3 linked regions of the Mytilus edulis genome follow. The protein of the gene in region 3 purifies or fractionates together with the protein of the main gene of each other region. This does not show direct contact. Links are inferred from orthologs where the notes say so. Each region holds a gene or a part of one and is shown on either strand. Other genes may lie near its edges. The genes, in order: ras GTPase-activating protein 1-like; leukocyte tyrosine kinase receptor-like; 1-phosphatidylinositol 4,5-bisphosphate phosphodiesterase gamma-1-like.

What was found.
Region 1: the proteins of 1-phosphatidylinositol 4,5-bisphosphate phosphodiesterase gamma-1-like (region 3) and ras GTPase-activating protein 1-like purify together in Homo sapiens (affinity purification with western blotting; 3 studies listed by BioGRID and IntAct, with this or other methods). This does not show direct contact. The link is inferred for Mytilus edulis from reciprocal best matches to the Homo sapiens genes PLCG1 and RASA1.
Region 2: the proteins of 1-phosphatidylinositol 4,5-bisphosphate phosphodiesterase gamma-1-like (region 3) and leukocyte tyrosine kinase receptor-like purify together in Homo sapiens (affinity purification with western blotting; 3 studies listed by BioGRID, with this or other methods). This does not show direct contact. The link is inferred for Mytilus edulis from reciprocal best matches to the Homo sapiens genes PLCG1 and ALK.

What each region holds. Positions count from the first base shown.
Region 1 is NC_092347.1:29,163,872-29,174,995, reverse strand, and holds the start of ras GTPase-activating protein 1-like, read right to left. Parts: upstream 4,747-11,124; 5' UTR 4,713-4,746; coding exon 4,537-4,712; intron 1-4,536. Other genes in the region: uncharacterized protein, read left to right, coding at 7,903-8,074, 8,936-9,162, 9,843-9,912. UniProt on the Homo sapiens protein: Inhibitory regulator of the Ras-cyclic AMP pathway. Stimulates the GTPase of normal but not oncogenic Ras p21; this stimulation may be further increased in the presence of NCK1.
Region 2 is NC_092346.1:97,157,798-97,168,297, reverse strand, and holds the start of leukocyte tyrosine kinase receptor-like, read right to left. Parts: upstream 4,091-10,500; 5' UTR 3,967-4,090; coding exon 3,765-3,966; intron 1-3,764. UniProt on the Homo sapiens protein: Neuronal receptor tyrosine kinase that is essentially and transiently expressed in specific regions of the central and peripheral nervous systems and plays an important role in the genesis and differentiation of the nervous system.
Region 3 is NC_092348.1:47,714,984-47,725,708, reverse strand, and holds the start of 1-phosphatidylinositol 4,5-bisphosphate phosphodiesterase gamma-1-like, read right to left. Parts: upstream 4,156-10,725; 5' UTR 3,909-4,155; coding exon 3,716-3,908; intron 1-3,715. UniProt on the Homo sapiens protein: Mediates the production of the second messenger molecules diacylglycerol (DAG) and inositol 1,4,5-trisphosphate (IP3). Plays an important role in the regulation of intracellular signaling cascades.

The sequences.
Region 1 (11,124 bases), on a different chromosome or scaffold from region 3:
TTATGGATTTTATTTAATTAAACAACAGTTATAAGCATATTTCAAACTAACATGATAATTTAAGGATGCCAAATATTTGTAGATAGTTTCTATGATGAATCACTTCTTCCTGTCCAGGAAATAGTATCTATTGTTTCAATTATTATTTTATTTATTAATTTGAATTGTTTCCCACAGAAACCAGAGCAGGAAAAAACGTATTTGGTTTATTTAGCATACAATGAAAATAATACCGACATTCATTTACACAAATAGACATTCCATTGCTATATTGTACATGTTGTATCACATCTTTAAACCAATTAGTTTATAGTGTTTTGCAGGTATAATTATCACATATGACTTTTCCACCAATATAATAAATGTAAGAATATAATCAAGTATTTTGACTTGTAAGTCAAATGTCAAGGTTACATAAAGGTCATGGTGATATGATACACACAGTATTAGGGTACTTCAACTTCATGCCAATAATATAATTATAAACCTGTGTACAAAGATAAAAAAATAGTTTTAACCCAAACAAAGTTGTATAAAAAGAAAAAGAAAAGACAGTAGAAGTCAACAAAAGGAGACATAACTAACAGTTGGATACAAAAAGAATTACTGAACTAGGTTGCTGTAATTCAAATTTTACTTGAGTTACTGAGAGTTAGGCTCATTTTTTGTAGATAATATTTTACTGATAATATCTATCATTTACACTTTCTCTATAGAATTTCTATACTTTGGACACACACAAATAAATGGTACGAAAGTTACCCCCACTTGTAACTACAATATATAAACAAGAGTCAATAAAGGGACATAACTTGAGAACAGTGAAAGTAATGCCACCCATATTCAATCTTGATATGTGTTAGTGGTAATAATTTGTGTTGAAAGTTCATATACCATTTGGTTGAGGCAAAGTAGAGTGTTAATCAGCAAATTCAGGTGTTTTTCCATTTATAAAGGGACATAACTTAGGAACAGTGAATCTAACACCAGCCAAATTCAAATTTCAACTGTTTGGTAGAAATAGGAATTATGTTAAAAGTTTCATTTGGTTAAGGCAAACTTAAGTAAGAAAACAGAAACAAATTTCAGGTCATGCATACAGATAGATAAGGGTAAACCTTTTAAGCCCCCTTCAAGAGCATAAAAACTTTTAAATCAGCAAAAATCCTCATTTCAACCTGAGCAATAACTCTTTGAGGAGTCATCAGACCGCTAGGTAGATTAATAAATGGAACCACTTCTTGCCACGTATCCTGTTTAAATTGGTTTCAAAAATCTTGATTTTCCTTTATAGTCACCATTTTTGTTTACCTGTGTGAATTGAAGATCACTTCAGCTAGTTGTTGCCTTTATACTGATTTTGATGGCAACAATTTAATACTTAGCTATAAGTTAAAGCGATTTTGAAAATATTGTTAACTTATGCATTAAGCTTAATCCACATTTTGGCTGCAAGATTATTCCCTGAGGTAATATTAATTTACAGTAATAATCCTTTGCAACAAAAAGAAAAGCTTTAATTCCACAAATCCACAATTTTCATTAACATACTTTCATTTTATTTCATTTTCATAGAGGAACAAATAGCATACATATGATAGATTCAGGAATTTCTTTTTTACATCTTTTTGTTGTAAATGTTGCACGCCCATTTAAAAATGGGCCCTTAGAAAAAAAGATTGTCGTCAAGTTGGTTATTCTTCAATCTTCCAACTTAATGTGTTTACATATATTTATAGCATGTTTATCATGTATATATTTTCAATATCAGTTGAAAGAATAATTGAGGGGATTTTGGTTCTGCTTTTGTTTTCCAGTTGATTGTTGACTGCTCATGTATATGATTAACTTTCCAGAATGATATAATGAGTACAAATAAACTCATCTTTGATACCATGCCAGGATTAAATTTAACAAAGAGAAAATTAAAGCAAACATGTATATAGTGTAATATTCATGCCTCCATTTCTTTTTTTTTTTACTTTTTATTCAATGAGTCGACAATGTCATTGGTCTAGATGTACAAGAAAGATATTTCTATACATTTATAACATGATAAATAGATGAAAAATTAACAAATAATAACAATACTTATGCATGTTTTTCAGCATCGAAAAAGTCATTTTGCTAGAAAACTTTAGTCTAGATACTCATTGATTCAAACACTATTACTGGCCAAACACCCTCCAATCTAAATTGGACATGTTGGAAGGAGACATTTGTAGGATTGCAATTAGGGATAAGGGGGCCACCTAAACCCAATCAGAGGCCTTGTACCCTGACAGGCCATTAGGGGGCCAGGGATGCTAAGTGATGATCAATTGATATTCAAATCATAGGCTGAATTGATTTTGTCAACAAAATATTCAGGATTCTAGTATTTTATTGTGTCATTTAAGAAAATCTGAGATATTTCAAGTGACAATATATAATGCTGACCATGAAGGAAACATTTTTGACAAGATAATCCCAATTTGTTTTTTTATGAACAGACGCACATTGTTACATAAGTATGTGCTAGTAATAATTTATTGTGTCTCTTTGACCCCTTTGGAATATCAGAATGGGACATTTACAGTGATCTGGAAGGTTTTTCTCACTATGGGCCCTGGGCCCCTCAAAAATAAATTCAATGGGCCATTTTAAAAAATAATGGGCCATGTTGTCAAATGAGTGGGCCATTTTAATTGACTTCTGTAAAAAAAAAGATATCAGTATATTTTGGCAAAGAGGTGTTGATACTTACCTTTATGATTTTAAATAAAATCATGGATATTGTTCCTGTGATTTTATTATTTCAATTTCAATGAGCATACAATAACTTCTTCCAACCCCAACAATATTTAAGTCAACCTTTATTTACAATGTTTAAACTGGTACTGTTGCCTTGTTCATGTTCATGGTTTTTTTTTGTACATTAAATTTGGGTCTTCGTCGATACCATACCTATTCGAGACATTCCGTATCAGAGGACATTTCAGGCATTTCCTCTGCACTTCTTGTATTATTATAACTTCATCACAGTGACAAGAATAACATATATAGTACCATTCATAGAACATACATTGTACATTAACAACAAATCGCTGAAGTCATGTTTACAAAATGTGAAAACGAGCCAAAGACCAAAAAATGACAAGGACAGTTAGGCGTCTTTTATGGAGACAAAAATTATATTCCTAAAAAGTCTTGGGGTTCTTCAATCAAAATAATAATAAGCTAAACTAAATGAGATTATTATTAGAGTTAAATCTCGTCTGTACTAGCCATATTTAACAAATTTAAAGTTGTTTATAAACAAATATATCATGAATGATGGTTAATTACGTTTTTCGGGTTATCAGTTAGACCGCAAGGTTCTATTATTACAATAGGAAAACACCGAGACGTTAAATCGCATGGTTCTATTATGATAGGGAAACACCCGAGACGTCCCAAAAATATATAGGTGCTCCTATTATTGGAGGAACATTACACAGTTGTGTACACACACATGGCGGCACGGAACACGATCGGAAATTCATTTGACGATATCTAAACATTTTGAAACAAAGTGAAAAATATCATGCGCCACGTGGGCGCTTACATTTGTCACTGTATGCACCATTTCTTGTCAATATGTGCTATAGGCGCACGTCCTTCCCGATCACTGCATTTAAACCAAAAATGGACAAGGTGCAATCCCAATGATCTCTCATTTTTGTAGATTTGCAATATTTCAACCCAAACAGCTATGTCAAAGAAGGGTGAGGGTGAATCTCCCTGGTTTAAAGTTGAGTTAGCAGGTGTGATATATCGATGGTCATTGTTAACAACAGAAAAAAATGAAAACATATTTAAATGACCAATTTATAAATTAAGGGATGGATCTGACATTTGAAGTAGATCCTAAAATGCTCAATCTTAAGGCATGTTGGCACAAACTATCCCAATGTGCAGGTTTTCTCTTTTGTGCTTTTGCTCAGCATATTTTCCTCTTTGTGCAATAAAATGGTATGCGCTGGTTGCATGTAAGATTGGGACATGACATAGCATGATGAGTAAATAATAAGTCGACAGTACCACTGCAGTTTGAAATATGCAAGTCCTAGTTGCAGAACCGTAGCTCTATTCCGCAAATAGACAAAATATCATAACATAAGGACCTAAGAGCTACATGTACCATTTTGAAGCTTCCCCGAATCAGTTCTTTTAAAATAAATAAGTCTCCCTAGCTCACATTATCGTATTTTTAATAAGCCAAATGATTTTTGAGGAGGCATCGACTTCAAATATTGATAATAAATTTGTTCAATTGATTTTAAAGCCCATTAAAAGGATATTATGATTTGCTGTTTTACCAGGAAATAATTATAATTTATCCTAATTTGGATCTGTCAACTAATTTATAGACATTTTGTTTTCTTAACTTCGCCTGCATTTGAAATATTTTTGCAAAAATCATGCTGATTATCAAAAACAGTGACTGAATCATCTATGTGATTTTACGTTGTAATATTTATGTACAAAATGAAAATTTTAAAACGAAAAACACACCGGTTTTCGGGTGGCGCATTCATTTTGATGAACAGTGTCTGCTCAACATTATCTTGGTTTTCTAATGAAGGATCTTCATCATCTGCATTTTCTGTCGTTGTGTCATCAGGGCTCAATGCAGGGCTGGACAGACTGTGACCACTTGTTGATGGTGAAAATTTGTTTTTGTCGGCCATTGTTACTTTTACGAAGATGAATGAGCACCTACATTTTGATTGGACAAAATTATTTCCCGCCAAATTTGGCAGATTCATTCATCAGTTCTGACCTTTACTTTTGAAATAATTTTGAAGAACATTAATGTTCTTCTTCACTCCAGCTTCAATTATTTAGGTTTTCATTCACCAGGTGTTTAGACCTTTCGACTGAGCAAATTTTCGAATTTTACGATGTAGAAAAGAAAGAGAGGGGCGAATTTGGGGAAATAGGGTGAGTTGGCTCTTGGGTTGAAAAGTGGGGGCGAGTTGTCGTCCTCTAAGAATTAAACAGAAAGTAGAAATTTTGCTAACTGCATACTGATAATAAATATCAGGGAACAAAACAACTAGAGGAATAAAAAGAAGAAGGTACGTCGAGCAAAATCAAAATATGATTTAAGGAATGGGAAATATGAAAAGGGTTGAAAAGCTGATACTGTTTTAAACATGTTTAAAATAATGTGTAATTTACAAAACCGAAAGTAGACATTAGTGTGAGTTCGTGGTCTAGTGGTTAAGACCGATGGCTACAGTGCTGAAGGTCCCGAGTTCGATTCTCACTCGGGGTTCTAAAAATATCAGCACATCAGAAGGGTAATTTTCACCCTCTCACACACATCTCTGGTACCCAGACCGGAGTTTAAACTAGAATGTGTACTTTGGGGGCCTGGGTTGGTCAAAGTTGTCCCTTACTTTGACCTGGAGATCAATCTTCTGATATCTCTCTGGTTTGTCTGTTTCCACCGAGTGGCCCGGTGGTTCTCTCCGAGTACTTCGGCTTCCTCCACCATAATAACAGACTGCCCAATCTAATTAAAATTAAATCTCTCACTCGCTCATTTTTTAATGCTTGGTCGCTGCGAGTGAGAGATTTAATTTTAATTAGATTGCAGACTGCCCGGTGTCCTAGCACTCCCTTTGTGTTGGGTGGGGATTGATTGTCCTTGGAAAAATAATTGTCGTATAAACATACGTTAGTGACACATCTCCATTAATCCCGTTAGGGAGTGTACATGGATGCCACTGTACCCTCGCAGTTTTCAAGGGGTTCTTCGGATATCGGAGGCATTTACCAGTACATACAAATGTACATACATACATCGCCCGAGTCAAGAGACATTTAAATTAATACAATTACATGTCTCTGTCTGAGCATAAAACAGGGACAGATTATTCTTCTTTATAGTTAGTATAGGCTGTCCCTGATAGAAACGAGCAAAAAGAGGAAAGGTATTTTTTTCAAAAAAAATCTAGTTTTTGCAGGTGCACACGTACAGCTCATTCTCGAGGATAGTAATTACTAACTGTCAGTCGTTTAATGGTTATTTTTGGCTACCATTAGCGTCAAATTGGTTTAAATCTTACTGTGATTCATCCAAATATCCTTATCTGCTCATTGTGATTCGTCAGAGATCTCAAATAAATATTGTTACCATTATGTTAATAAAAAAATTAACATAGAATTGAGAATGGAAATGGGGAATGTGTCAAAGAGACGACAACCTGACCATAAAACAGAACAGCAGAAGGTCCACAATAGGTCTTCAATGCAGCGAGAAATTCCTGCACCCAGAAGTGTCCTTCAGCTGACCCCTTAACAAATATATATACTAGTTCAGTAATAATGATTGCCTTACTAAACTCCAAATTATACACAAGAAACTAAAATTAAAAATAATACAGGACTAACAAAGGCCAGAGGCTCCTGACTTGGGACAGGCGCAAAAATGGGGCAGGGTTAAACATGTTTATGAGATCTCAACCCTTGCCCTATACCTCTAGCCAATGTAGAAAAGTAAACGAAAAACATGAATAGTCAATTTCAATCGAATCTTTTATCGTCTTCTAGAAAGTACATTAAAAGTCGTGCACCATTACGGTTAACGTTGTTTGGCAAGAATTTTTACTGTTTTTCGTCTTGAACATGTTGAAGGTAGCCACATTTAACTGCCCTCATTGTCTCAACCCAAAACAACACAAGTTACTATAGCTACTTCAGTATGTGAATTTCTTCATCTTTTATATATTGTTTTAATATTTATGTATATTTTATTTTATTCATTCGCAGATGTTAATCTAAAGACTCTTTTTCCTGGCTGTGGACTTTTTCGTCCATAAGTTAAAAAAATTCTCTTCATTTCTACTCAAATAAATTTTGAAATTCTTTAACATTTCTCAGCGATTCTTCCTTTATTGTAAACAGTCTGACAACCATAAAACAATTTTGATGAAAAATTTGTAGAATCTTTGTCCAAATAAATGTTGGAATCACTATAGTTTATTTGAATCTGCAAGTATCCTAGCTGTTACTAATTGGCATATATTTGTAAGTGCAACTTTCATACCAATTGAAAAGCCTGATTTTGGTGATATTCTGGAGTCAAACATAATATAATTTTCCTTCAAATTTAATTTCCTTTTCTGTTCAGTATGGTACTTTTTTTGTCAAGAGTTATTTTTTCAATTAGATATTATAGAAAAAACTTGATTTTAATATGACGTGTTTCTTTCGCTTTATGATAATAAACCATGCATGCTCTAAATCCAATATTTTTTTTTGCACATGCGTATATTGACTACTGCAGAATAATGAATTTTATCAAATTGGCATGCATTTAATATATTTCATTAAATTCAAACACTTCCAAACTCTTAAATGATGCACATATTGTTATTAATTCATTTATTATGACTGTAATGTGTTGCATTCCAAAATTGACATATTTGACCTAGATACGACAACCGAATATTTACCACCAGAACGCTTGAGTTTACACAATTTAAATAAGCAAACAACAATATATCAATCATATCAAATCAAGTTCAAAATCATTTTAGTCAAATCTATGAAGTCAGCAGGACTGATCAGGACTAGTAAGGAAAGGGAGCAGTATAAAAAAAAAGTCCTCGATTTATCATTGATTTGATACATTGAACAATAATATTTTATCATGTTTGTAGAGATAATCCAAAAATAATGTTTTATTATTTTTCCAGGACTTTACAATCAACAACCATAATATTTAAGAGGGAACTATCCAATCCACAACAATAATATTTCAGAGGAACTATCCAATCCACAACAATAACATTCAAGAGGAACTATCCAATCCACAACAATAATATTTCAGAGGAACTTTCGAATCCACAACAATAACATTCAAGAGGAATGAGCATATTAGCCAAAATATTTCCTCTAAATGAAGATGGTGCAAGTGATAATTATGAAAAGTTTAAAGCCTTCTGGAGCCAGGTTGAAGGATGTAAAGTTGAAAAGATTGATATGAAGAACTATACCCCACCTAGAAAAGCAGAAGACTTTAAAAAACAGTTAAAGGATTGTAAGTTATAAATCAAACCACGTGAGATTATTGTTATGAAACAATCAATCAACAATCAAGGGAAACTTCGCCAAAAAATTAAAAATTGATATTATGTCCATTCTGTATAAAAATGCTCAAATTCATAAATTAATATTAAAGTTTTATTCTGCTAGATAAGTGATATCACCATTGATTTTAAATTTAAAGTATCAATTCTCTGCATGTGTCCATTTTGTCATCCTTTCCAATTAGGAGCCACGATATGTCTATAAACCACAAAGGACATAAACTACAGTAACCAAATGAAGTCGTAATTGCGTGTCGGTGTCAATGAAATCGTACGATTGTTTTATCCAACTTACTAACTTGATACGGAAAATGTTATTATTTTTTAAATAACCATGGTCTGTCGTTTAAAACTGTTTATATAGGAATTAGTTAAAAAGTCAAAGTTCAAAGTCATAAATGATAAATGCCAATGAGAAAATTAACTCTCCTCCATCCAAGTCACAATGTATAAAAAGTAAACTATTATAGGTCAAAGTACGGTCTTCATCAAGACGCCTTTGCTAACACCAAAAATCAAGCTATAAAGGGCCCCAAAATGACTAGTATAAAACAATTCGAACTGGAAAACCAATGGTTTAATCTATATAAAAAACAAGGATCAAGAACCACATCAACAAACTTCCTACAACCACTGCATGAACAACATATTCCTGACTTAGGACAGGTGCAAACAAATGGTGCTGGGTTTTAACCTTCACCTTAAGCTAGCTCACTATAAAATAAATGTAATTGCTGTCATAATAAAATAGATAGGTAGGAAACCTAGAGTTGTAATGTAATGTATATAGTATAACACTATTTTTTTGCCAGTGAAAAATACATTTGAGGAAGGAGGATATGAATATCTTGTATTAGCTGTCAGTTCACATGGGGTCGAACAAGAACAAGACACTGTTGAAAAAGATAGTACCGGTAATGACAAAACAGGAATTGAAGTGTCTTTAGAAATTGCATGGCGATCAAACAGATACAAAGTAAATGAGCTGCTGAAAATATTTGAAGACGTTAAAGATAAACAGAAAATTTTCATCATGCAGGTACTATCATGATTTAATTTGCACTTTAATCTTCAATATGTTCATTGCTTTGAATCCTTTCGTAAAGGTAATTTACATATCTAGAAATGTCAGTTGTTTACGCTCTGTCTAAAATGTTAAAAGAGAAAAGCAGCATTATATTTTCTTGCCTATGCTCCTTTCAGTCCATTCATTCCTTAATCCTTTAAAGTAATTAGTTTATGGTGCATCGAAATGAATATATATGTACCAAGTTACAAGTTGACCTTTTGATTTAATTTTAAAATCAAGATAAAATAAAAATCTAATACTAGTACACAACAACTGCAAAAATATCAAAGGAAGATGTTTTTTATAGCACAATTGAATTGATGTTAATAAAAACAACCAGTTACAGTAACTTACTGCAGGGATGGTTGAGTTCTGAACAGAATAATTGGAATTGAAATTTGCAATTTACCACTAATAAAAATGTTTTATTTCAGGAAAAACACTTTTCTAAAAGATATCATTACTGTAAGATATGTTTTACATTAGAGCTATTTTTCTAATGCTTATAGTGCAAAGGTACCATTGGCTTACTTTCTTTGGTTTTTAAAAGTTTGCGCACAATATATCTATTAAAGCTTGCTTATTGGGTAGCTGTTTCTGATGTCCTTTCAGGGACGGCAAGAATGTAAATTTGTATTTATATTTAACAGATGTGCAGAAATAGATCAGATGAAAGAACAGTGACTAAACTAGGGAGAGACCAAGGAGTGCATCATTCAAGTTAGTATGTAGGGTCTTTATTATTTTTGCCAGTTGAAGCGATAAATAATTTAAGATGAGCCTTATTTATACACACAATTATTATACTGATATATCATTAATATATAGATTTATATTAGCAATGTCTTAGACCCTTTTCTTTGAAAATCAGTGCTGATCAAATATTTTTAACAAGTTATGCCCCTTGGAAAAGTTCAGTATAAGAAAAAGAAAATTTACATTTGCTTTGAATCCTCCATTTTTCTAAGATATTTATAAACTGTTCCAAAAATGTGTGCAACAAGGGGGACATTAGAACTCTTTTATTTTATATTCAGTATTGGAATAACAGTAGGGGGACAGTCAGTGTAACCCTCCTGGAATGTGTAGTTGCCTATTTGATCCTCTGGATACCTGATATCAGATTTTGGCAGAATTGAGACATAAATCAAATAGAACCAACAATTTATTTACAAATGACAACATTCATATAAATCATAGTCAAATGAAATGAAAAAGAATAGTAAAAGTTCAAAAATAAGATGTAATGAAACAGTAATAGTTTGCAAACAAAATGGTATTTCAGGTCAAATGAATTCAAATAAAAAAGGAATTTTCAAAATCTGAGTTGAAAAAGTAAGTGAAACTGTATTTATATACTTTGTGGTGGGTTTCAGAATTAAGTAAAGCATAACAATATAATGCCAAATTAGTTGCTAATATTAAACTTGCTGTAAACATTTAGCACACTTACAATATGAGTACTTTATTAAGTACACTCAACATAGAATGAAATTCAAAACAGTGTAGCTGTGGCCATTGATTGACACATTAAATTCATCCATTGACTGGGACAATTTACGTGAACGTTTGTCTGTAACGACCACTGTTCACGACGTACCTATGATAGACATACAAACTGTGGGGTCACCAAAGGTTTCTTAACGCCTTTAATTATAAAATAATTCGAAAATTGAATCAGGAATAACCTTTATGTTTTGATTTATATAATTGATATCAATCAAAACATCGTGTTATTTCTGATTAATTTTTCGAATTACTTTATTAAGGTGTTGAGAACCTTTGGTGACCCGATAGCTTAAGTGTCTTTAAAAAGTACATAGTGAGAAGTGGTCGTTACATACAACGTTCACCTAAATTGTCCCAGACAATGGATGAATTTAATGTGTCAATCAATGGCCACATCCACACTGTTTTGAATTTCATTCTAGA
Region 2 (10,500 bases), on a different chromosome or scaffold from region 3:
TCATGAGTATCTATGCTTGATACAATTACAGCTCATAGGTTTTCATTCTGATTACAATCTCAGCCTCAGGTCTATTGTAAGCATATTTGTTAGTCCCAGACACTAAATTGCAAACAAGAAAAATTTGTAAGGGTTCCGCGGAACCCAGTGTCTTGCTACTTTTGCTGTAAATCGCAGGCTTAACAAAAATGAGGAAAAAAATCAATAAAAATATTCCTCTTGATATTATCTTTTGATTGTAAGAAGCTTCTGTCCAAGTTTGGTAGAAATCCTGGATAGTTTATGAATCTAATAAATGTTTTTTAAAACTTTAACTGAAGACTGTATGTAATGTTAACTGGAAGAAAAACTATGTCCATTTATAAGTAAAATACAGATACAAAGGTACAAAATATTAACAAAATTTCCTTCTAGATACTAGCTTTTGATCATAAACAAGCTTCTGTCCAAGTTTGGTACAAATTTAAAATAGTATAAGAAATTAAGTTATTAATTTTTTCTTTAATTTAACCACAGAGTGCATGAATGTGTTGTTTCCTGGCAGAAAATCTAAGTTCATTTAAAAGTAAAATACAGAAAAAATGGATTTATTTTTTTACAAAATTTACTTCTGGATACTATCTAATGATCATAAACAAGCTTCTGTCCAAGTTTGGTGCAAACCCAGGATAGTTAGAGAAAGTTATTAAAATTTTAAAAACTTTAACCACAGAGTGAATGTAATGTTTCCCAGCAGAAAAACTAAGTCCATTTAAATATAAAATACAGAACTAGAGGCTCTAAAGAGCCTGTGTTGCTCACCTTGGTCTATGTGAATACTTAACAAAGGACACAGATGGATTCATAACAAAATTGTGTTTTTGTGATGGTGATATGTTTGTAGATCTTACTTTACTGAACATTCTTGCTGCTTGCAACTATCTCTATAATGAACTTGGCCCAGTAGTTACAGTAGATAATGTTAGTGAAAATTTACAAATTTTAAATTGCTAAAAATTGACTATAAAGGGCAATAACTCCTTAAGGGGTCAATTGACCTTTTTGGTCATGATGACTTATTTAGGTTTTACTTTGCTGTACATTATTACTGTTTATAGTTTATCTCTATCTATAATAATATTCAAGATAATAACCAAAAACAGCGAAATTTCCTTAATATTACTAATTCAGGGGCAGCAACCCAACAATGGGTTGTCCAATTTATCTGAAAATTTCAGGGCATATAGATCTTGACCTGATAAACCATTTAACTTCATGTCAGATTTGCTCGAAATGCTTTGGTTTTTGAGTTATAAGCCAAAAACTGATTTTACCCCTATGTTTTATTTTTAGCCATGGTGGCCATCTTGCTTGGTTGGCCGAGTCACTGGACACAATTTTTAAACTAAATACCCAAATGATGATTGTGGCCAAGTTTGGTTTAATTTGGCCCAGTAGTTTCAGAGGAGAAGATTTTTGTAAAAAATAACTAAGATTACAAAAAATTTGTAAGGGTTCCGCGGAACCCAGTGTCTCGCCTATTTTTGCTGTAAATTGCAGACTCAACAACAATGAGGGAAAAAATCAATAAAAATATTCCTCTTGTTACATGTACTATTTTATGATTGCAAGAAAATCTAAGTCCATTTAAAAGTAAATTACAGAAAAAACTGAGTAATCTTTTTACAAACTTTACTTCTGGATACAATATTATGATCATAAATAAGCTTCTGTCCAAGTTTGGTACAAACCCAGGATAGTTTAAGAAAGTTATTAAAATTTTTAAAACTTTAACCACAGAGTGAATGTAATGGTTCCCTGGAGAAAAACTAAGTCCATTTAAAAGTAAAATATGGAAAAAATGGATTTATTTTTTTACAAAATTTACTTCTGGATACTATCTTATGATCATAAACAAGCTTCTGTCCAAATTTGGTACAAACCCAGGATAGTTTAAGAAAGTTCTAAAAACTTTAACCACAGAGTGAATGTAATGTTTCTCCGCAGAAAAAACTAAGTCCATTTATAAGTAAAATATGGAAAAAATGGAATTTTATTTTTTCAAAATTTACTTCTGGATATTATCTTATGATCATAAACAAGCTTCTGTGCAAGTTTAGTACAAACCCAGGATAGTTTGAGAAAGTTATTAAAATTCTAAAAACTTTAACTACAGAGTGAATGTTTTGTTTCCTCGCAGAAAAAACTAAGTCCATTTATAGTAAAATACGGAAAAAATGGAATTTTATTTTTACAAAATTTACTTTTGGATACTACCTTATGATCATAAACAAGCTTCTGTCAAAGTTTGGTAGAAATCCAGTATAGTTTAAGAAAGTTATTAAAATTTCAAAAACTTTAACCACAGAGTGAATATTTGTTGACGCCGCCGACGACGACGGAATGTAGGATCGCTTAGTCTCGCTTTTTCGACTAAAGTCGAAGGCTCGACAAAAATGGTTAAAAATTTACTATAAAGGGCAATAACTCCTAAAGGGATATTCTTCTATTTTAATACCATTAATTTGATAGTTATATATTCTTCTGTTTAATACCCTTAACTTGATAATTATATATTCTTCCAATTTATTGTAATCTAGCTATTATTACTTATCAACTAAATTACAGAAATTTTCACTAATACAAATATACCACATCAATATGTCACATCTCATTATATTTATATTTGTTATCTCATTCTATTATATAGCAGCCAATTCCACTTTCCCTAAATCTCCATTTATCCTCAATTCATATCACTTATTTTGGCTTATAAATTAATAGTGTACTATACTGAGAGTATGTTTAGCTTAATTTTTTTATTTTTTAAATTAACATGTACATTTACTCATTCTTTAGAAATATATTTGCATTTAACAAGCCTAGATATTGCTTTGTCAGATAAAACTTCTTTGATGTTAACAGTGATGGTGTTATATTCCAGGATATGGACTGATCTTGTTACAAGTTTTATAAAAGCTCCTCATTTCCCAAACCTTTATTGAATCAAGTATAATCAATTTTTACAAATTCAGTCAACAAAATGCTAGTCAAAAATCAAATCTTCCTGAAATTTGAATAATAATTAATAGTCTACCTAATTAACTCTAATTATTTAACTCACAAATTTTATATATTTCCATAAAATCAATTTTATTCACTGCTTCATGTTGAATTCGAAGGTATTCTAATATTAACTTAGAACAGAATTCAGTTTTGGTAAATAGTGGCATTCTTATACATTTTTGGAGATACTCAAAGTTTGACAAAATCTGCCAAACAAGCAGTTTTGAGCTATCTTCAGGTATTAATAATTTGGTCATATATTTAGAAATATGTGATAATATTGTAAGAACCTTCAAGGGCACATATTGGACTCTGTCTACTGCTACTTAAACCTGAATACACAGGGCTTTCGATGGTTTTGGTCGACTATTTTGATTCCTAAAACAGTGTCCTTTTTTCTGTGAAAGTAATTATGAACTCTACCATAGAAGGCAATTATTTACATTTTTTTAATCCCAAATGATATGCTGTAGTTATCAATTGAATTGCTGTATGAAACACTTCTTCTTTTTTAAAAGACCAACAATTTTTTATAAACACTGATGAAAAAGAAAAAGAAAATGTTGAAATACCAACCTACAAGCTTTTTCTAACCTACTGAACTTTTCCATTTGAACTTCCAAAAAAATGGTCAATTAATCAGAGTTTATCTTTTCTAACAAGACATTCACTCAAATTTAAAACAATTTTTGAACTTTCCTTTAAATATTTGTTCCTACCTTTTTTGGAGTAAATATCATATTCCAATCCATTAGAATCAGTAAACCCATGGGAACTTTCAGAAGTTCTGTAAGTTTTACAATTTTTACTATCTTTACATAATTCTCTATCAGATTTTAATTCACAACTAGAATCAACATCACACAGGTAACATAACGAGACTCCAAAATTGATTAACAAGAATATAACAGGTGTAACCATAGTCTGTCCTGCTCAGTGGCTAGTATCCAAGTATTGCTGATTTATAAAATAATATCAAAAAGCACAATAAAATCAATATTAGTAAAATCCAACAGGTATTCAATTATATAGTAACATTTTCAGCCTTTGAACCTTATTATGATGATTTTCTCATCCACAATAGATTCACCTGTTTTCTATAAAATTGCGTATTAAGAAAAGACAATCTGATCAGGAAAGTTTTTGAAGTTAAGCTCACATGAAATTGTATTACTTTGGTTAAGTACAAAAATCATTTGAGGGATTACTAAGCAATATGTCGAGAGTCAGTGTTGGTAAATGACGATTTTTACATTTATCAAATAACTCTAGATAAGAGCAACAATATTTTCCAATTGAAAGAATTTCCAATCAATTTGTGGCCGATTTGCTTTGGTTTTTATTTGTCTGTCACAGTCATTGCATTGATCATTGTTGATGTAAATAAGCATGTCATAGAAAGCTGTAGAAGGAGTTTTATCAATGACAAGATATTCTCTATTGTTTCCTTGTATTTATTGATATATCGTCTAATTTCCAGAACCTTTTAAATGACTATACTTGTACAAATATTAAACCTACATAATTAAGCTGTCCATTAGGAGCTTTTGATATCATATTAACTTAACTTTTCATGTAAAAGCATTTTTTATATACAATTTCCATTTAATAATTTGGTGCCAGTTTCAGATAGCATTAACAAAACACAGAACCATTTATAATATTTTGTCGATATATCCGTGGTTAATTGGAATCAGAAAAAAATCTGTATAATGTGCCAAGAAGATGAAAAAGCTCCGACACAGTTTTAGTATTCAGTATATTTGGATCATCAGTTTATCATTTATGAAACAAATAGTGTTACCAATTTGTTTTCACTATTCATTTATCACTTTCAATAAAACACCAAATGTAAAAGCCATTTATTTTCATCATCTACCATTTGTTCTCCAGATGTAATTTATTTCACATACGTCATTCAAATCTGAAGTTTGGTGGAGAAAGTATTTTTATTGTCCATACTAATTTCTTGGCCAGACAAAAAACAATGGTTCAGTGTCAAAGTTTTATTTGCTTTCAATATTTCTATCATATCTAAATTCCATATTGATCTTTAAATATTCTTCAAACTAAGATCCATCATTCTAAACTTAATCGTATTATTGTATTTGAATATACCATATATTTAAGTCATTTATAAAAATAGTTTTCTTCAGACTTACAACATTTTTACAATAAAAGTTTGTCTCTAAATGGTTTTCTTCAAAACTGTATATTATGTTACCAAAGCTACATGTACCTACCTTCATACAACCGCAATATTACATAGTTATAACACAGAAATTCCACAAACCTTTGGATCTATAATTTGAACATTTCCTCTCTTGAAGTATTCTGGGCCACTTCCTCACTTGAAACAATAGAACCTGAAAAATTAATCAAAGACTTTACAATGATAATAAAACCAGGAGTTAAAATTCAATCTACTATTTGTTTCTTGTTATGAATAGTCCAACTTGTATTGTAAAATATCATTCTACTTAATATTGTATCCATAGAAAAACAAGAATATTATACATTGTAATTGACATCATGTACAATAAGAATCTTACATGTTCATAGTTCAGTGATTTTGTCAAGTCTGGACTGAAATCTACAGTTCCATGATTCTGTCATGTACAGTCTGGGTTTAAAGTCTACATAGTTCTATGATTCTGTCATGTACCGTCTGGGACTGACATTGATATAGTTCTATGATTCTGTCATGTACAGTCTGTGTTTAAAGTCTACATAGATCTATGATTCTGTCATGTACAGTCTGGAACAGAAGTCTACATAGTTCTATGATTCTGTCATGTACTGTCTGGGACTGACATCTACACAGTTCCATTATTCTGACGTGTACAGTCTGGGTTAAAAAGTCTACATAGTCCTTTGATTCTGTCATGTACAGTCTGGAACTGAAGTATACATAATTCTATGATTCTGTCATGTACAGTCTGGAACTGAAGTATAAATAGTTCTATGATTCTGTCAGGTACAGTCTGGGACTGACCTCTACACAGTTCCATTATTCTGTCATGTACAGTCTGGAACTGAAGTCTACAAAGTTCTATAATTCTGTCATGTACAGTCTGGGACTGAAGTCTACATAGTTCTATGATTCTGTCATGTACAGTCTAGGACTGAAGTCTACATAGTTCTATGACTCTGTCATGTACAGTCTGGGACTGAAGTCTACATAGTTCCATGATTCTGTCATGTACATTCTAGGACTGAAGTCTATATAGTTTTATGATTGCCATGTACAGTCTGGGACTGACGTCTACATAGTTCCATGATTCTGTCATGTACTGTCTAGGACTAAAGTCTACATAGTTCTATGATTCTGTCATGTAGTCTGGAACTGAAGTCTACATAGTCCTATGATTCTGTCATGTACAGTCTGGAACTGAAGTATGCAAAGTTCTATGATTGTCATGTAGTCTGGGTTTAAAGTCTACATAGTTCTATGATTCTGTCATGTACAGTCTGGAACTGAAGTCTACATAGTTCCATGATTCTGTCATGTACAGTTTGGGTTTAAAGTCTACATAGTTCTATGATTCTGTCATGTAGAATCTGTGACAGAAGTCTACATAGTTCTATAATTCTGTCATGTACAGTCTGGGACTGAAGTCTACATAGTCCTATCATTCTGTCATTAACAGTCTAGGACTGAAGTCTACATAGTTCTACGACTCTGTCATGTACAGTCTGGGACTGAAGTCTACATAGTTCCATGATTCTGTCATGTACATTCTAGGACTTTTTTCACAAGTTCTTGATTTGGGTTTGGCAATGTAATTATAAGGGGATTAAGGACAGGTAATTCAGAGTTTTCACAGCTGTAATTTTCCCAATCTGATTTCTTTTTGACCATATTTTGATTAGATTTTTATCTGCAAAACTCTCTCATTATAATTGATTTTAATAATTTTATCAAGATCTACATCAAAATTAATACCCAATAACTTAAAAGATGTTGCACCCCAGGATAAATTTCTGTTTGGACAGTATCGTTTACTCTCAATTTAAACTACCTGTGTTTTAGAAAAGTTTATATTTAGCCCTGAGAGATTTGCATACTAATCTAATTCATTTAAAGTTTGATTTAAGAACCGTTCACTTCCATCTAAAAATAAGTGAAGTATCATCTGCAAACTGTGATAACTTATGTTCTATCCTAGTCACAGTTATGCCAGTAATATTTTTATTCCCCCGTATTCTAATTGCCAAAATCTCTGCACAAAGTATAAAAAGGTAGGGTGATAAGGGATCCCCTTGTCTACAGCCACGTCCTATTTGAAAAAAATCTGAAAGATTTCCTCCCTGAATGACTGCAGATGAGATATTATTATAGAACTTTAACCCAGTTGATAATAGATTCACCAAAATAAAAACATTGCAACACTGACACCAAAAAGTCCCAAGATAGAGAATCAAATGCTTTTTCAAAAATCAATTAAAATCAATAAACCTGGAATGTTATGTTCTTCTGTATATTGTAAAAGATTGTAAATCAATCTGATGTTATCCCCAATAAAACTTTTTTAAATCTACTAGCAATAACCCCTGAACCAATTTTGTATACAGTATTAAGCAAGGAGATAGGTCTTGGTTTATTGTATTTTAGTAAGCATGTAATGTTTAACTGCATTTGAGTCACTGATAAATGTCCCAAATTTGACCCATAATTTAAAGATTTAACAACAAAAGATTTCAAATCCTTCCAGAAAAACTTTAAACAAGAATGTGTCCTCAGTACACGAATGCCCCACTCGCACTTTCATTTTTTATGTTCAGTGGACCGTGACATTGGGATAAAAACTCTAATTTGGCATTAAAATTAGAAAGATCATATCATAGGGAACATGTGTACTAAGTTTCAACTTCATCAAAAACTACCTTGACCAAAAACTTTAACCTGAAGCGGGACAGACAGACGGACAAAAGGACGAACGGACGCACAGACCAGAAAACATAATGCCCCTCTACTATCATAGGTGGGGCATAAAAATCTGTGGAAAAACCATCTGACCCTGGTGATTTATTATTATTCATTTTCTGTAAAGTAATGCTAGCTTCATTAATAGTTATCTCCCCTTCTAAATTCAACTTTTCATCCACAGATAATTTATTAAAATTTAAATCTTTCAAATCTCTTTCTAAATCACTCAGTTTACACCCATTGCCAATAGTATCCTTATTTTTGTATAAATTTTCATAAAAGTATTTTGTCTCCTTTAAAATATCAAATTGGTTTGTAATAATTTTCCCATCATCTTTTTCGACTTTGGGAATTATTTTGCTTGTAAATTTTTTTTATTCAAAACCGCAAAAATACTTTGAAGGTTTTTCACCTTCTTCAATCCACTGCACTCTAGAGCGTATAAATTTACCCCTAAACTTTTCTTTTCTTATACTTTTTAAGCAAACCGGATTTATTAACATTCATTTGTGTCCCGCATTTTTCAATATCACAAGAACCATAACTGATGAACGGGTGAAAGTGAAAATCGTCAATATCAAATTTGACCTCCATTTTGTCATCAGTAACAATATATTTAAATTTGAAAAGCTTTGGTTGAATGGTTCATGAGTAAATGCATCAACATGACCGGAAACACAATTTTTCAATCTTTCAAGAACCATAACTTCTGAACAGGAAAAATGAAAATCGCCATTATTGAACTTGACCTCAATTTTGTCATCAGTAACAACATATTTAAATTTAAAAAGCTTTGGTTGAACAGTTCATGAGGAAATACATGGACATGACTGGAAACACCATTTTTCAATCTTTCAAGAACCATAACTCCTGAACGGTAAAAGTCAAAATCATCATTATTGAAGTTGACTTCCATTTTGTAATCAGTAACAAAATTAACATTTGAAAAGCTTAGGTTGAACAGGTTCATGAGTAAATGCACAGACAGGACTGGAAACGCCATATTTCAATCTTTTAAGAACCATAAAGTATAGATGAATGTGCACCAAAATCTAGACAAGATAAAGAGAAAGAACAGTTCCTTATACAATTCAATAGTTGTATACTACAACAAATGGAAGTTTTTAATGACCTTGACTGACTATACAGCCCTTGCACGGTCTGTAAATACTGGAGGTTTATCCAGAGCCCATTACGTACGTTCTCTAGGATATATATTCCTGCTAGAACGAACTTTTAACATTTGATTAAATCTTTGATACATTTAGTGCTTTATTTTAATGGACATCATATGTTCAATATTGTGCTGTCTAAATGAGTCTTATTAAAGTTAAATATTTATCATATATCATAATGGGTTCAAATATTTACCTAAAATAGACATTGACAATTTTAATTTTCGCTAAAATGGGTTAAAAGTTAGGCGCTGAAATGGGTTCTACTTTGGCTCTAAAACATCCAATTTTTTTGCGCTCAAATGTCCTATTAATGTGCAAAAATGTCCTCCAAACATGAATTCAATAGCAATATTGATAAATAACAATAGCAATCTATTGTTTCACCTGGTTTATTAAGATGCCTTATGAATCTCAAAAACTTTTATCTGGTAAAGGACTACTGCACTATTCAAATTTTAATTCAACATAAAGTACAGATATCCCTTACAGTTTTCATTACAAATTCCTATGTATCAACTCTTTCTATCAACTGCTTTTGGAAAAATTGATGAAAAAATTACAAAATGGTCTTTCCTTATATTATCTATATTGTATTTGTTAAGTTCTGTGAAAAATTCAATTTACTGGAAATATTTCTAGCAGCTGCTTTTTAAAAAATTGATAAAAAAATTACAAAATGGTCTTTCCTTATATAATCTATATTGTATTTGTAGTTCTGTGAGAAATTCAATTTACTGGAAATAAATTCCCTTCCTGACACAACATATAGGGTCAATGTTTATTAAAGAGTATTATTAAATAACTGAAATCATTGTAAAAAAACAAATATTGTTTGTTATCAAATATTTGCTTCAGGAATAATTAATTTACAAAGCACTTGTTTTTATTATGTCAGCAATTAAGTAAAACAAATGAAAGTGCCATTTCAAGTCCAAGCAATTAATTGTCTAAATTGCCTAAACGCTATGAATATTGACAGTTTCTACAAACTAAACACATGTTCAATATTTTACCAGGCATTAATGATTAACCACCATTCTGATGTTATATCAATTCCTTTGTACAGATTGCAGTTAATAACAACGTGAAGAGCAATTTGGTCTATTTATAGAAATAAAATTCCAAGGTTTCAACATTATTTTTTCAAATTGCTTTATCTAAAGTTCTATCAATTGTTATTATATAGTCACATTTAAGTCCATATGGAATTCATATGCAGAAGATTAAGTTGTTAGAAACCAAGAAAACAAAAATATAAACACTTCAATTTTCATTTCTGTGAATCTGCTTAATTATACAAAATGGCAAAATATAATACTCTGAAGCGAAATGTTCCTGGTTTTAACT
Region 3 (10,725 bases):
CTCCTTAGACAGATATATACATAAATCAGTTTAAAAAAAAATCAATAATATCTGCAAGATAAAGAAACACTTTAAATTCAATATCTATTCGACCTATAGATTTATATGCACAAAATACCTAACATGTCAACTGAAAAATGAAATTCAATAAAAAGTCAACAATGCAATATTTCGGTCACAAATATATCAAATATTTTGTACACTATATAATGTACATATATGATAACTTATAGAATTCAGATCAAAAAGAATATGTCAAGTATAGATCTTGTAGTTGTAAAGTATGGCATTATCAAAGTTTAAAACTTGTACAGTTTATATATATATTGACCCCAAATAATAAACTCATGTTCCCAAATTTAAAACATAACACATAGCTTTTTAATATTTTGCATTGTGCATGTTTCACATTATATACATGCATTTCTGTGGATAGCTACATCCTAGTTTGTGTTGTCTCTTTAAATTTTGTGAATTGAAAAATTCCAAAGGTCTTTAGTTGCTTAATCAAATTTTGTAATGATTGTGCATTGTACAAGTAGATTGTATAATCACAACAACTGAATATTACTACTCTTAAATGTTTAAAATATCTTATTCAACAAGTTTCAAATCTTTTTTTCACACTAAGATTATCAATTGTAATTAATGACGTATAATCATATAATCACTAATTGACTGCCAACCACTAAAAATCAAAGGGGGTCTCATTGGGGGGTTCCGATCCCAGATCCCGCTTATTGTTTTGTCAGATTCCTGTATCCCGCTTACACTATGTACATAAGCAATTCTCACTTTTTTTGTCATTTCCCGGGTCCCGCTAGACCTCATTTCCCGTTTTCACGCCACAATAATTTGACTTTCACGTGTCCCGCTTACAAAAAATCGGCAATCCCGCATCACGCTTAGACCCCAATGAGACCCACATCAAAGGCAAGTCCGCATGCCATGTGCAAAGTATTGCCCAGCCTCTGTTAAAGTCTGTTTTAATTACCAGATTACAGGTTAAAGTATCCAAATTGTCAACATTGAAAAATACATTTTATGCTACTGTATATATTTGTTATCAACAACTAATTTAATTTTTCATCAATTTACATAAAAACATGCATAATATTGTTAATACATAATTTCCTCCAGTAGCATTAAATTGGGGGGGGGGGGGGGTTCCAGCTCATTTCTGAATTTCCAGTACATGCATATGTTATTTGGACATGTGGAAAATAAATTAGCTAAAAGTATCATCATAAACATTTTACAACATAATTAAGAAAAAGCGTGTAAGCTTAAGATGAAGACATGGGTAACTTCCCCATCACTTACATCAGATGTGAATAGGTTTTCCTGTTTTCCCTACTAAGATGGTTATCACAAAGCCAAATACTATAAAAATTTCCTTGGTAGTAAATTCCTGTAGTAGTAAAATTTTTGCAGTTCATTTTGTAGTAATATTTCTGGTTTTTCAGTTACCAACAAATGCCAGTAAAAATTAGTAAAATTATAATTAGCCACAAAAATTAATGTTATTAGGATCAGGTTTATACAATTTAAATCTATCTAAAATGAAGATATCACAGAGACTTTTGAATAAAAAATTGATTTAAAAAACTAGATGTGTACAATGGGTCTGGGGTAGGGGAATCTAGAACCCCCCTTTTTTTTATGATCAATGCTTTTGAATAGGGACATACATGTATAGTTGTAACCCGCTCACCCTTTTTAAGACGGGCTGGATCAACCCCTAGACAATTTCCACCTCAAAACCAACTTGTGGATCTTCATAATCTTGCAAACAATTTCTGGTGTTTTCCATATTTACAGTTCAATTCTATCTTACATAGACTAGGCAAAAAAGACTATACTGGGTATATACTTGCAAATCTATTTGTAGATCATACAAGTAACATGTACCTACATGTTGCTTGTCATTTTGGTGTTTTAATTTCAGTTTGAAGCCATCATATTGGCATTTGCACAAGATTGGTTGTGTAATCAGTTTCTCTAATAATTTTAGAGGATATGTCAGACATGGTAGAAAAACTTTTATCTTTTTTCCAATGCTCTGCATTTAAGCATGTGTTCTTTATTTGTGATGTTGTCAGGAATGATTGGCCTTTTTCATGATGTCACAATAAGATTTTCAGAGGACAGGAATATCTGACATGTATATCATGACATAATTGAATTTAGACCCCAAGAAGAACTGAGAGCAAACAAACCACACGCTAATTATTAAAAAATAACTGGTCAGGAAAAGTAAAATGTAGTAAGAATTAGAGAAATACATGAACAAATGTAAGTACAATGTACATGAATGTATTCTACCACTGCATCAAGTGTGACATTTCTCCATGAAGCAGTTCCCCTTTCAACTTTAAAAGGAGTCTTGCTTAGCCATTAAAATATTCAAATTTAATTAAATATCAAGAGCAGAGATACATCAACATCATACTGTACAAGATTCTATGATGGAATCTGTTTCTGTAATGGATGACCACTATATACATGATATATAGTTATTACTAGTATTCTTAAAATTCATAAACCTTTTTTCGTTACATATATATTCAGTATGGGCCCCAACTAAAATGAACTACAAGAGTGTGTTTAAACTAAGTATGCTAATTACATGAATTAAATCTATTATCTGTTTAAACTGGACAATTTAAACATGTTAAACATGTTAAAATAATGTCTAATTCCCATGATTCCATTGATGCTTAATTAGAACTTTATTGTAAATCTTTAATGGAATATGGAATTAATGATATGCATATATATCCCTCTGTAGTGTAGATAGCGTGCGGGAGAATTCAAACTCAATGGCTCCAAGAGGTTGGCAGGTACTTGCACTTTATGCTGTACTGTGTACCATTCTGGACAGCAGTGTCTACAACTCCCAAAGTCTGTTGTGTTGTGTTCATGTAATGCAGATCAAACAAAATGAACAAACTTATCAAACAAACAAAATTACCAGACATGACATACATGTACATTGTAATTCATGCAGGCCCTTTCACAGTATATTATTGCATTGCAGTCATGTTGAATATGGGACAGATTTTCATATTTGAGAAGCAACGTTAACAGTTGCAAAATATTGGAAAACATTATTAAAACAGAACAGTAGCTTGGATACATGCATTATCTAAAATTCCAAAAAGTATCAAAAGATTTCAAAGAGGCATTGAACATGTTCAACATGTTCAATTGAAAAAAAAACTTGCAATGCCATGGCAAAAGAAAAAAGAATAAAATGCAAACACCGGTTCTACCACAAAACACAACATTAAAGTTTGCTGTCCATTTTGGATTGGAGGTTGGCAAATAAAGTATTTGTTAGTTTGTTTGTATATACATGTACATGTATTTCAATACCAGGATCTACGTTAGTCCAAATATTTATAAAAAATATGACATTTTGAAAGGCAATTATATATTTTTCTTTGGCGCCTTACATTACATGTCGCAGGAAGGCGTCAAGCAAAAATTTAAAAATACATGGCGCCTTCCTAGATGTCATATAATTATTTGAGATCAACATGATCAATGACAATGTAGAATACTTGACCATGTTGACATAAACATTATAAATTACACATTTGTTTATGCTTTGTGAGCCATCACTATACACTTATAAATATATATGATATTGAATCAGGATTTGAAAAGGATAAATCCCATCATCAGCATCAGCTGCACTGAATGAACTTACATGAACCCTCTGGTTTTCCTCCTTGTGCTCGTATCCATACCAGTTGTCTCGTTTCTATTCTAACTTGCAAAGTTCGTTTCTCAGGTCTTTTATTCTTTCCAAAAAATATTGTCACAACAAGTCCACGTTCCAAACTTCTGAATCTGGCCCAATCATCGTTTTCTATTTGATTCCCATTGTAAAGTGCTGCCATTTTTTTGGAACTTGTTGCTTTGTTTACTTCCCTTCATTAATTAGTCTTTTTTCTAGTCACATGTCATAACGTATCCTTGTCTACATGTTTTATCGTGAAGAGTTTTATTTATTCATCTTGTTATTCATTTTTGACACTTAAATATATATCAAGATATATGTGAATTTAGGTTTTTGGATTACCTTCCGGGAACGTCTTTTCCAAGGGCGATAACTACGGGCACCTGTTGCACAAGGGAGCTAACTCTAATGTATTTTAGTTTGTCATGATAGAAATACGCAACATTTCGCTAAACAAATTAGCTTCATCAGGCGTATGCATCTCTCAAGGTGAAATCGGATGCATGACAAAAATATATTTTGTAGCTTAATCTATACAAGATTTGAGGAAAAGTGTAACATATTACAAAAAATATGTTTGTAGCTACAACTACATGAAGTTGGAATAAAAGTTTAACACATTTATATAAATCAAATTAAGGTGGTATGGGAGTCTAAAATAAAAATGATAGAATTTGTTCATACTTTGCCAAAATGTTGTATCTATTGATACATGTTGAAAAATATAATAAAAATGATAGGTCATCGCGCATTTTCTCAAGCTACAGGACGGGACAAAATGACACATTTTGTATGGATTATACAGGAAAAAACAACATTTTGTGATTAGAAACTAAACAAAATGATAGAATTGTTAAATACTTCAGGAAAAGATAGCTTTCAGACACTGCTTTGAGAATATCAAAAGAAAAGATAGGGTCACCGTACGTTTTTTCCGGCTAAAATATAAAATAGGAACATTCCATACAGAATCCTTCAGAAAATGCACTTTTTAAGAGTTACCTCCCCTTAAAATGCCAATTTTAAAAAAAGATAAAAACAACCAAAAATAATTAACATTTGCAAAAATATCAATATTTAGAAGTTATATTCTTATAAATTGGTACTTTTAAATGAAAATGTACATTAAACATCTGCATTCCTGCATCAAATTTTGCTAACTTGATGTAAAATCTAGACCTTTGATTCTCTGTTTTTTACAATCCAAGATGGAGGAAGACACCCATACCACCTTAAATCAAATATTTTATTGTCATATAAACTTTACAGTTTGTGACCAACATATATTAATACATTAAACACAATAAACATATATACATACATATTAAACATACAAAATATCAACAGCATTAAAATTGAGGGCCCTCGTGGGGTTTTTGATTATGTGATTACTTGGCCGTTTTTTTAATGATTATTTGATTATTAAGCCAAATATTTCATGATTATTTGATTACCTAGGACTGTATTTTTAGTTTATGATTATTTGATTACTAAAGATAAGCAAATATTTAATGATTATGTGATTATATTGGCAAAAAAATGGTGATTATGTGATTACTAGGACCCCCCATGAGGGGCCTCAAAATTTATAACAACAAACAAGTTGTTAAGAGTCCCCTGCCCTCAGTTCTAATGACTTTTTCAAGAAGGATCCTAACTTATTTGTTTGTAAAGGCGATGATGGATTTAGTAAATAATGATTTTTTTCTTCTTCATTTAAATTATTAAAGTTATTATTTTCTGTACATATGTGATGAAAAAAGTCATTTCTTAGAGTTTTATTATACTCACAATATAGTAAAAAATGTTTCTCATCCTCTAGTATTTTACATTTATGGCAAAGACGTTCCTCTCTTGGGATTTTAAATATCTCCCCTTTTCAATCAAGAGGGAGTGATCACTTATTCTAAATTTAGGTGATTAATCTCCTTATCTGAAAATTAGATGTATTTAGATAATATTCTAGTTTGTAATCTTTTTTAAGTTTTTTATAGAGAAAAAATTTACTTTTATCATCGATGTTTTGAAATTTATTTTGAATTAAATCTTCATATCTATTTTTCATTTTTAACTTTATATCGTTTTTTATTTTATTTACATCTTTTATGTCTGTAATGTTTATTGGTCGCTAAGGTTACAGTTGAGTAGAATCTTAGTGTAGAAATGCATGGTTTACGCTAGAGAAAAGAGTAACGAAGATTTAGACGTTTGGCGGGAAAATTAGTGGCCGGGTCGAAAGTTATAGGGGTGATAGTAAGGGACTCTCTATGCTCCGTGAGGATAACATTTAGAGAACACCCCTATCAAGTAAATAGTGGTATCGACCCCGGGTATATAAGAGAGTGAGAAACAGCATTCGGGGCTGTCGGTTGGCTGTCGATGAGCGTACGTTGGTTATATTAAGCGCGAGTAAGAGCCTTAATATTCAAAGGACACTTTGTACCGGGTACAAAGTAAACGTACAAGTTGAACGGATTGACAAGGCGGACTGTCCCACTCGGTGGACAAGTTGTTCCAGCCCGCACTGTCTGGTAGTGACAGGTTGTCCCACTTGGAGGACAAGTTGTACCAGACCGCTCTGTCTTGTATTGACAGACTGTCCCATTCGGAGGACAAGCTATCCCAGCTATACTGTCTCTAAGTGACACATCGTCCCATCTTGAGGACAGGCTGGTTTATTGTATTATATTTGTATATATATAATTGTCCGTTGTTACTTTATTTCGACAAAGAGTCAGTGTGTATATTTTAGTTCAATGTGCATAATTTAGATAGTTGTAGTTTTTAACATTACCGTATTGTTTGTGGACAACTTGGATCCAAGTATTTACTGGAACGGATGTTTGAGATATAAACGCCTGGTTACACGTTACATATTTGGTGGCTAGCGGTTGGGATTCAAGTTGTCTATCAAATACTATTTGATTGATTGATCGTTTAATTTATTGTCAGTTAACCTCAGTGTTTACTTGAAAGATAAAAGTGAACCAACCGTGAGGCATAGTTGTAAGTCACGGCTGAGTTGTAACACGGGTGTATTATTTAATATAAATTGTTTTATTTTGATTACACTGTACTGCTATAAATATGTCAAATATTGACGATCAGATAGCGGAAATAAGTAGACAGATACAGTCTCTTAGCGAAAGCACAATACAATATGGACAAGGTTTAATATCATCTACACATAAAGATCAGAGTGAACGTCCGAAGGTTGTTGAAAATAAATATCGAGATTTCCATCACAAGCAGGAATTAACGAAAAATCAAAGTACTGCTCATACTGTTTGCTCTGGTTCGGATTATGTTAAAATAAAACCTTCAAAATATGATGGCAATACTCCTTGGATAGATTACTTAGCACATTTTGAGATGTGTACCCTAGTCAATATGTGGTCTGAACACCAAAAAGGTTTGTACTTGGCCGTGTCACTGATTGGACAGGCTCAAGCAGTCCTTGGTGATTTACCAAAGGAAAAGAGACAAATATTTTCAGACCTAGTTAATGCACTTGAGGAACGCTTTGCTCCTTCAAGTCAAACTGAACTATACCGAGTTCAATTCAAGGAATGTCGACAAAAAGCAAGCGAGACTTTGCCGGGGTTAGGTCAGTCAGTACGACGACTTTCTAATCTGGCCTACCCGACTGCTCCGTTAGAATTAAGGGACACGCTCGCCAAAGAACAATTTATAGATGCGTTAGTAGACTCCGAAATGAGACTGAGAATTAAACAGTCCCGTCCAAAAGGTCTTAACGATGCTATACGATTGGCAGTTGAGCTTGAAGCGTATAACACGGCTGAGAGCAAAACACTGAACAGTATGGGTCATTTACGACATACTGCTGGTGACGAACGGACAGAAACACCTAATAGTCTTGTTACGGCTGTATCTATGGAACAAATGACGACATGGATGCAAACGATTCAGAATAATTTACTGGCCATAGCAAAAGAGATTAAAGATTTAAAGTCCCAAAGAAAGTTCCAACAAAGGGAGAAGATAAATAACACACAAAGTAAAAGGAAAAGGTGTGGTCCCTGTTTTAGTTGTGGAGAAATAGGGCATTTTGCAAGAAAATGTCCTAATAATAAGTAGAAGCAAAGTGCTCCAGATAACAACGGAACATATACAGACGGTACGGTCAAGACACTGAAGTCTGAAGTTAAGTCTTCAAACAATGACAAAGGCGATGTTGTTTCAGCTTCAGAGGGTAAAGGTATTTTTGTGGAGTTGAGTATTCAAGATGTACCAGTAAAGTTTGTGGTTGATACGGGAGCTACACTTAATATAGTTTCTTCAAAAGTGTATGATTTAATACCTGACTTGTGTAGGCCACATTTAAGTGAAACAAAGTCCCAGATAAAGTCAGTTTGTGATAAATATTTAAGCCTTAATGGTAAGGGTAGTTTTACACTTGAGTTTGGTAATGAGAAGTTTATTTCAGAGGCTGTTGTAACTGACTTACAAGTCGATGGCATTCTAGGTTTAGACTTTATGAAGAAAAATAAGTGTCTGATTGACGTGCCTGCTAACCTATTACATATTGATAACGTTAGTGTTCCCCTGCTCTTAGAAGGTGCAAAAACGAGAAATACTGATGTTTGTAGAAAACCTTGTCGGTTAACATCAGACAGACAGTCAAAAACGGACCGTGATTGTTCTAAGAGAAAACAAAGTCCGGTCAACATAGTCACAAGTCAGATGCAGCACAAAAGTAAAGACTTGGCTTTAATAGAGTTACAATCAAATGACTCGGACCTTAAACTTGTTAAGCGCTGGTTGACAGAGGGTCAAAGGCCACAGCACAGTGAGGTATCCGGTAGGGGATACTTTATTAGGTCATTATGGAGTCAGTTTGGCTGTTTAGAAGTCCATGGTGATGTAGTAGTTAGACGCCACATGGACTGTGAATTTAACGTTGTGAAATTACAAGCGGTAATTCCAATGTCTGAGCGCAAGCAAGTTTTACAATGCTGTCATGAGACAAAGTGTTCAGGTCACCTAGGTATACATAAAACTATAGAGAAAATACGTCTTTCTATTGGCCTGGTTTGCAATCCGACGTTAGGACGTATGTTGCTGGTTGCAATCAGTGTACTAGGAGAAAACGCCCAATGAAAAGGAAACGTGCCTCGTGGAGATTAGAGGACAATGGTCGTCACGAGAGTAAGCGACCAGCCTGTATGGCTGATAATGTAAATAAGTAAAATTTGAATTATGTATAAATGTTGTTGAATTAAATTTTGTAATTTTAAATATAACATGCGGGACGCATGTAGATTGAGGCGTGGGTTATGTAATGTTTATTGGTCGCTAAGGTTACAGTTGAGTAGAATCTTAGTGTAGAAATGCATGGTTTACGCTAGAGAAAGAGTAACGAAGATTTAGACGTTTGGCGGGAAAATAAGTGGCCGGGTCGAAAGTTATAGGGGTGATAGTAAGGGACTCTCTATGCTCCGTGAGGATAACATTTAGAGAACACCCCTATCAAGTAAATAGTGGTATCGACCCCGGGTATATAAGAGAGTGAGAAACAGCATTCGGGGCTGTCGGTTGGCTGTCGATGAGCGTACGTTGGTTATATTAAGCGCTAGTAAGAGCCTTAATATTCAAAGGACACTTTGTACCGGGTACAAAGTAAACGTACAAGTTGAACGGATTGACAAGGCGGACTGTCCCACTCGGTGGACAAGTTGTTCCAGCCCGCACTGTCTGGTAGTGACAGGTTGTCCCACTTGGAGGACAAGTTGTACCAGACCGCTCTGTCTTGTATTGACAGACTGTCCCATTCGGAGGACAAGCTATCCCAGCTATACTGTCTCTAAGTGACACATCGTCCCATCTTGAGGACAGGCTGGTTTATTGTATTATATTTGTATATATATAATTGTCCGTTGTTACTTTATTTCGACAAAGAGTCAGTGTGTATATTTTAGTACAATGTGCATAATTTAGATAGTTGTAGTTTTTAACATTACCGTATTGTTTGTGGACAACTTGGATCCAAGTATTTACTGGAACGGATGTTTGAGATATAAACGCCTGGTTACACGTTACATGTCCTTACAAGTAGAAAGAATATTAAGGTCAACGTTAGTCTCTTTAACAATATTTTTAGCATATGTATACCATGAGTAAGTTCCTGTCAAATCTAGAGACTGTGCTAGAGAAAAAGCTTCCTTTAACAATGGATTAATATTATTATTATATAGATGTTCGATTAATTGTATGAATTTCTATAAATTAATTTGTATGATTTCAAGATAATTATGGTTTTGATTTGCTTTTAAATCTTTGTTCGTCTCTCTCATTGAGTCCATCAGGTTCGATCAAGAGTTCGTAACTGGTGCATCCAAAATCTCTCTCTTTTTTGTCTTCCTTGTGCATGTTGTGTATCCCAATTTTGATTTTTCTCAATGATTAGAAATGTGAAGATTTCAAAATCATGTCCTGCTCTTAAAAGGTGTCTTGTAATTGGGAAGTTCCTTTCTTTTGTATTAAATTACCGATGGTTATTTAGTCGGATGTTAAATGGTGTTTCTGTTTCACCAACATATTGTAATTTGCAAGTTCCACACGTTAGAACATAAATGCAATTTTGCGTTTTACAATTTGATGTTATAATATACAATTACTGTCTTTTGATGAGGTAAATATGTGGTTTTATTGACTTTTGAAAAACTGATATTCACTGAGGCCGACGGCCGAAGTGAATATCAGTTTTTCAAAAGTCAATTAAACCCCATATTTATCGAATCAAAAGACAGTAATTGTTTTATTCCATATTCAGAGAAGAAAATGTATTTAATCACAAACATATACCAAAACAAATTTGACATGAAACATTTTACCATAACGTTGCATGAAAAAGCGCGTGACGTTTAGCGCGGTGAATAACACTTTCCCAGGTGAATATGCTTTTTTATTCAAAATCCAATTCGTATAGAGAAACCTACTAAAATAATACTAATATG